Rattus norvegicus: one gene and its partner. The protein of the gene in region 2 purifies or fractionates together with the protein of the main gene of each other region. This does not show direct contact. Links are inferred from orthologs where the notes say so. Each region holds a gene or a part of one and is shown on either strand. Other genes may lie near its edges.

What was found. The genes of interacting proteins can lie anywhere in the genome.
Region 1: the proteins of Hdac4 (region 2) and Tbl1xr1 purify together in Homo sapiens (affinity purification with mass spectrometry; 3 studies listed by BioGRID and IntAct, with this or other methods). This does not show direct contact. The link is inferred for Rattus norvegicus from reciprocal best matches to the Homo sapiens genes HDAC4 and TBL1XR1.

The regions. Positions count from the first base shown.
Region 1 is NC_086020.1:106,849,165-106,852,664, reverse strand, and holds part of Tbl1xr1 (F-box-like/WD repeat-containing protein TBL1XR1), read right to left. Parts: coding exon 3,379-3,500; intron 1,580-3,378; coding exon 1,478-1,579; intron 689-1,477; coding exon 662-688; 3' UTR 1-661. UniProt on the Homo sapiens protein: F-box-like protein involved in the recruitment of the ubiquitin/19S proteasome complex to nuclear receptor-regulated transcription units. Plays an essential role in transcription activation mediated by nuclear receptors.
Region 2 is NC_086027.1:100,194,838-100,198,872, reverse strand, and holds the start of Hdac4 (histone deacetylase 4), read left to right. Parts: upstream 1-1,235; 5' UTR 1,236-1,313; exon of another isoform or gene 1,314-1,572; intron 1,573-4,035. UniProt on the Homo sapiens protein: Responsible for the deacetylation of lysine residues on the N-terminal part of the core histones (H2A, H2B, H3 and H4).

The DNA of each region.
Region 1 (3,500 bases), on a different chromosome or scaffold from region 2:
CTCCACAATATGCACCTATTGAGTATATGCTCTGGGAGCCATCAAATGTACCAAACATCTACCTCTTCCAAAGAATGCAGGAAAATATTTTTAAGATTATTTTTTGTTTGTTTGTTTAAAAGGTGAGGAAAAAAAAAAGCAAGAAAATGATTCACTCCCTTACTTCATGCATCCGTAATCTAAACCAAAAACAAACTTGGAAGCAAGAACCAACTACTGCCGCAAGCTTCTGTTAAGTCCATGTTCTCTGTACATACAAACTGCGCACTACTGAAGGGGAAAAAATATAATCCATGGTGTCTGCTGATTCAAAGGGGAGAAACAAGGCTGTCATTGATATTCAAAACTGGGACATGTGTGGTTTGCTCTTATAACGCATATTCCTTCTCTTCTGGTTTCCATATCCAAACTTCTAAACACTACTTAGGGGCACAGCAGGTTAGATCCCAGCACTTGGTGAGCAGAATTCACAAGCTGGGACGAGACTGTCATCTTCAGGGTACAGCTGTGTTCATATACACTGCATGTATATATTTCTCTTAGATTTGGCTGTAGTGGACTGGCCATGGTTCAAATGGGACTATAGCAGTTATGTGGGTCAGGGATAGTCTTGTGGCTATGTACACATTCATAGTCGGTCCATGGCTTCCAACTAGTAACGCTATTTCCGAAGATCTAAGACACAAACCTGTAAGAGATGACAATAGTCAGCCAGGATCCAGAAATCTACCTTACATTGCAAGCTTAACTTCTATAAAGAGTACATTGTAATTTACAGTCTGTCTCTAAGATGCATATTCATAAAATCAAAGTAACAAATCATGGAAATAAATCTTAACTGAAGGGCATCAGGTCTCCATGCTGTGACGTGAGCCCTTGCGAGGTGCAGTAACTGTGGAAATGCTGCTGTAAGGTTTAGGAATTAGTCCTTACAGTCAGTGAAAAGGGGATGGGAAACATACACAGCAGACAGCTTCTAACTCTCGGATCTGAACAGAAGATACCAGGAGTTACAGAGGCCACCTCGCCAATAGCTCAGCTCTCCCTCTCCAGCTTTCACTGCTTTGGAACAGTAGAGACCATAATTACCACATCCTGGAGGTCTCAGTACCAAATATCTCCCTGCAGAAATCAGCCTCCATTCTTCAACCTCTAACACCCCTCTACAGAGAGGAGAGTTGGGGAAAGGGCTTTAAAACTACCATTTAGCAAGAAATACTTCATGACATTTAATTCCACAAATGGAAGATTTACATTGGAAACTGCTCATTGCTTGTTTATAAAGACTCTTTGGCAAAGTCACCCCTAAGTTTTATTCATATTATTCAAAATGTAATGAACATATTTAGCACAAAGCCCAGGGAGAGGTGTTGGAAATGGTGTTGATATTTTAACCAAAATTTGTTATTTTGCAACAAACACAACTGTGTACCTAACATGTCCCCTTCTCTTTAAAAAAATTCATGTGCATACTCACTGAACCATCCGAAGCACTGGCTCCAACTTTGTCTCCTGCTGCGTTCCAGCAAACTTCAAAAATCCCACCTGTTCCCCTGTAACTGTGAACTAGAGCACCTGTCTAAAAATATGAAAAACAGACGCCTAAGTATCATTATCAAAATCTATAATGTAGGAAAGTGACATGAAACCCCATCCTCACCCCTATCCCTCCTCTCCCCAAAATATGTAAGTAGTTAATGGTTGATGGAGGAGGAAAGGACATTTTCTTCAGTGGTGTACCCACTGAAAAGTTGCCTGTGCTCCCATAAGTAACTCTATTTTAATCCCCCAGATGACATTAGAGAAGAGAACTAAATAGGAGGAGTTAGTGGTAATGTGAGAAGAGAATGGTGGAGGAGGGCTGATCAAAATGTTCTGTATCATTTATAAGCATATCATGATGAAACCTGTTATTATGTGTAAGTACTATATAGTAATTTTTAATTGGAAAAGGCAGGAAAGAGAGGAAAATGGGGAGGGAGGGAAGAACTTACTTAAGAGGCTACTATAGAATTATAGTAATTCATATAAACTTAGTATAAATAATTAATTTAAAAAGTAGTATATGGGCTCAAAATAAACTGTCAAAGATAAAAATTTTTTAAATTAATTAGGTATTAGAATGAGTCAAAAATATATGATGATGCATTAATTTTCTAGCAATCAGAGGTGGGCCTTGGTTTCAAATAACAATATAGGCAAGTTCTAAACCTCTGGAAATAATAATTTTATGGTAACCCCTTTCACTGATGTTATCAGACTATCCTCAAAGGATGGTTTCAGCCCAAACTGTTTTTCTAGTGTTGGTGATTCCCCACTAGGATGTTTAGCTTCCTTAAAACAATACCTACAATGAACAATGAATGCAGAAGAAGAAGCATACTCGTCACCAAGGGACATATACATTTTACCAACAGAAAAAAATATATCGCAATGGAGTACACAATAGAATATTATGTAGCCTTAAAGAAAAATTAACCATTACATTTTACAGGAAAATCAGTGAAGTGGAATGTTAAGCAAAATATGCCAGACTCAGAAAGACAAATACAACACGTTCCTTTTCATGAGTATCCTACATTTTAGCATGGGAGTGCAAATCATGAAACTAGAGATGGTTTTACGAGAGGGAGCAGAGAGGCCTTAATAGAGGAGGAGGACATGAGGATTGGAAGGGCAGCTCAGGGGAAGTGAATGGAGAGGTGGGCGGAGGAGCAGAGACAGGAGCAGGAAACAGGCTTATTAAAAACAAAGTATGTGCAAAGTGCCATAGTGATGTTCTTTAGGTAAATGCTAGTTTTTAAATGTAAAATTCAAATGAATTTTCAAATCTGCAGAGCAGTCAGCCTAGGATACTCAGCTTCACTTCCCATACTGGAAGCTTGGAACTGCAATATCATCCTCCACCTAGAAACGGGACCCTGCTGAGTGTGTGCTAGAAGCATGGTGCTTTGTTCAGTATGAAACTCAGTAAGGATGAAAGAGAAGGTAGGCAGAACAGTCACTGTCGGACATGAAGGCAAAGATGGCCAAAACCTCCTCAGTACGGACCTTCTTGAGCATCAGCTGTGCAACTTAATGAAAAATACTAGATGTGATGGTTTATAGCAAGTAACTCATCAAATAAACAACGGTAGAAATCTACTACAGAACAGAAAATGGCTGCCTGCAATGTATTAAGTATGACCTACACCAACCAAGACATGGGGAACACAGAGGGTGATTCATGGGGCACAAAAGAAAAGCTATAAAATGCCCCCAAATACTTTTTGATTCTTAAAACTATTAAGTTGATGTCACATACAGAAAAACAAAAACGTATGTAAATAGGTGAATGCTTCTAACTTAGTAAGTGAAGCTTAAATTAATGGGACATACCTGTGTGTTCCAGATGTGCACACACTTGTCAAAAGAACCACTTGCCAGATACCTGCCATCAGGACTAAAAGCCACACTGTACACAGGCTCTTGATGTTTTGTCAAAGTATGGATGCAAATCC
Region 2 (4,035 bases):
CATTTTCTTCTACTCTTTTTGATTCCACAATTCATCCCTTGGCTTCGCAGCTGAGCTATCCTAGCGTCTGAATTTCTCCCAATGAACGAAGCTCTCTAGTTCACTATTACCCTGAGATAATGAAAAGAATCTATTGCATTTTGCGAATTGTTTTCATCCACATACCTTCAATTATCCCCCAGTCACGGATCAAAAAATACTATTCGGTCTCTATTCAATTCCTACAAGTCAAGGCCTAGTAGACAGGCCAGCATCCTAGGACAGTCAGACCATGTAGGGTGGACCAGATGCTCTCTCCTTCGTTCTAGATGTGAGATTCTGGAAATACCATGCACACAGGATGAGAAATTGCACTACTCTCCTGATGAAAGGTAATGGACCCAGGGGCGTCAGAAGCATGATCTTTCATGCCCATCCACACCCGGGTACGCCACTTATAGGTGCTTGACCCAGGTCTAGAAGAACCCCAGCAAAGAAGGGGTGGGTCTCAGCAAACCGGGACGCGGTGGCGGCGACCCAAAGCCTACACCTCCGCCACAGCAACGGTCCCTGAATTCCCAGTTCCCACGGCCACGCAAGGGCCCATAGTCACAGCCGCACCCCCAAGCGGCGCGCCTGCCCCGGGGCAGGGCGGGGCCCGCCGCGCCTGCGCACTCCCTCTGGGCTCGGCGTCCCCCGCACGCAGCCCACGTGACCTGTGCCTTGCCCAAGATGGAGGTTGCAGCCAGGCCTGACCGGGCCCCCGTCACAGTCTGCGCTCTTGCGCGCCCCCTTAGAGCATGAGACATGAACTCAGGCACACTATATTGACCCGGGCAGCGCCGCGGGCTGCCGAGGAGGTCTGTCAACAGCATCAGTCAGTACGTGCACCAGCTCCCTGCTCTTTCTCCACAGCGAAGCTCTCAGAGCTAGCGCCTGGAGAGTCCTCGGTACGCCCCGCTCACTAGTATTGACAAGGCCGGGAGCCAATGGGGTTTGTAACTTTTGAGAGAGGCCGATCGAAGGCGGAGCCCCTTTGCAGCGCCCGCGAAGCGGGGGTGGCTGTTGGGCTATTGTAGGGCGGACTTAGGACTCTCGGACCAATGGAAGAGCAACTGAATTCTTGGAGGCGGGGCCGAGCCGTAATTGACGCTTTCTTCATTAGAAACCAGGCAGGGGGCGGGGCCCACGGGGGGAGGTGACGCAAAGCCGTTGCAGCCAATGGCTGGTGGGCCGACGGCGGGAGGGGCGGGGTTGGAGCGCCTGACGGGCGTAGGGCGCGGCCTATCCCCGCGCGGCTCTGCGCTCGAGGGGGAGCAGCATCATGGTTCAACGTGGGTCAATTTTTTGTGAATGAGGAGGGGAGGTTGTGGGGCCGCTGCCGCGGAGCACCATCCCCGCCGCCGCCCGAGCCCGAGCCCGCGCGCCTGCTCGCGCCGCCGCCGTCGCCGCGCCGCCTCACGCCCGGCCCGCTCAACGCGACTGCTGTCGCCGTCGCCGCCCGAGCCCGCCCGCCCGCCGGCGGCGGCGCAGGCTGAGGAGATGCGGCTCGGAGCGCCCGAGCAGGGCTAGACGCGGCCCGCCGCCGCCGCGGTAAGCCACCGGCCGTCATTGTCCGCGCCGCCCGGTTGCTGGCGGCAGGTGGACGCCCGGCCCCGCCGAGGCCTCGGGGCCCTGCGCCGCGGGCTGGCGGGCGGGAGAGCGGCCTGCGCCGGCGGGCGGGCAGGTGGGCGCGCGGGGGCGGGGGCCGGGGCGTTTATGTAACTTTGTCAGCCTGTGAGTTTGCAGAAAACGCCCCTCGGCGGCGGCGGGCGGCGGGGCGGGGGCCGCGGCTGGGCCCGGACGGTCGTTGGGCTGGCGAGAAGCTGCGCTAGCCCGGGAGACGACCCGGTGTCCACCCTGAGCGAGCGTTCCGAAGGCACGGCTGTAGCCCACACCGCCGGAGTCGGTCGGAAAGGCCGGGTGTGGAACCCGTGTTCTCCTTTAATGCACACGGAGAATTTGTTAATAACTTGCAGCCGCTGATAGCAGTGTTTTGGTTATTGCATGCTGTAAATTGACCTGCTGTGACACGATTTTCAAATAAAGCGTCGCAGAAATTAAACTTAAGTTATTTTAGAACTAATGACTTTCTTAACTAAATCCTAATTGCATTACTGTAGAGACCTACCTAATTGCTTTCCGAGAGCCACTCTGCCTGCTCGGGGAGGAAGGAAAGGCCTGTGTAGTCACTTTGCCTCCCTGCTTTTCTCTGCTCAGGCGTTTCTGCCTGTTCCCACAAACCACCTAAGCATTTAAGGCCTGCGGAGTATTAACGTGTAAACAGCCATGGCCCTGTCGCACTTTGGGGCTAGGGGGATGCTGGCGGCTTGCACCTTGACCTGGTTTCGGTTTTTCCTCCGTGATATGATCGAGGTTGCCAGGAGTTTTAATTGCTTCTGATAATTCCGTGCATTATTTCAGGACCGGCTTGATGAAAGCTAGTGTGGTGGTTTCAAAATCCATCCAGAAAGAAGGTGGTGGTGGTGGTGGTGGTGGTGGTGGTGGTGGTGGTGGTGGTGGTGGTGGTGGTGGTGGTGGTGGTAGAACGCTTGTGAGAGGCAAGGAGGTTGAATTAAGAAAACTCAGCTGCTTCTACACAAATATACACTATAGCAGTTACAAGGCAGCAAAAGTTATTGCAGAATTTTGCAGTCTCTATGGCAACACAATTACTCCATTATAATTGGAAATGCAAAATGCCACCCAGTTAGAAGTTTCATCAGAATGGAGTTTTGGATATCAAAAAAATATGCGAGATTTAGTTAAAAATTCTCATTTTTCCCCAGGTAGCTTCTGCAGCTCTAGTCTAGGTTCAATTGTCTATTTTTAAGACCCATTCGCTTTCCCAGATCTGCCACTCCTCGGGATCTGTGGCATCTTTCCCCAGAAGAACTCCCCGTTTGTGTGGGAGGGAAGTATTTTCATGCTTTAAAAACACACACCCGACACACTGTAAGACTTCTATGGCTTTCTGTGTTCTGGCTTTTCTTTTAAAGATCAAATGCCTTCCTGAAGAGCAGTAATCACCCAGAAGAGGCTGGGTTTGCTAGAAGGCCGAGGTAACACTGCCCCCTTTAGGGGTCTGCCGGCTGCTTACCGGGTATCTGAGAGCCCTGAGGGGGAGAGAATGACTGTGGACTGCAGAGAGGCCTGGAAAGCCTAGGGACCAAGGACAGATGTGACCAAAGCAGCCCTAGCAAGAACATTCTGTGGTTAGCAGCGTCAGGGAGCTGGGCAGCATATAAAGCCCCCAGGTGGCACCTTTGCAGAAGTCAGGGGCTGCTGCTGTGCGAGGTGGCAAGAGAACATGGCACTCTTCACGGGGCTCCTGGCACCTAGCTTGACTTTGGTTTCGAAGCTGTGTTAGGATGATGCCCCTCTTGATGTTTACCAGAAGAGCTCTGGTGCTGGAAGTTTCCACACATCGTGGGGCTGCTGCAGCTTAATTTCGTTATAACCCTTTCCTTTTAACTACTGCATATTTTTGCCCAGTAATCGACTTCCATTTTCCAGCCTCATTGTGAGGTTTCAATGCAGCATGAATGGCTTTGAATTCCAATCCTTTGATGTTGGGGGTGGCACCAAAGGAAAGGAGACTTTGTGCCGTCCTAATTGCCAGAGCAGAAGAAAATTTCATCACTCCTGTCGAGCCTCGTCCATGCCATTTTCTATTGAAAACGGCTGGTTTTTCAGAACTCTGAAGCTACCATAAGTAATACATTAATACCTGACGTGGGGAACCAGGGAGATGCAGAAATGAGAGACACCTGCTGCACAGGGAGATTGGGGGTGGGGCTCAGGCCCAAGACCAGGGTTTTTGATGTCTCTGGGCCCTGGGGTGACTGAGCAGGCTGAATCCAGAGTTGAGCTCATGTCCCATTGGTTGAAACCCAGCCTTGGGGAGGGGTCCCAAGGAGATTTTTGGGAATGGCTTTGTTTTGATCTCCAGTGACCATCTTGTGTCCTGCTGTTCATCCACCTCTGGGCATTAAGTGTGACACTGACCTTCGAGGT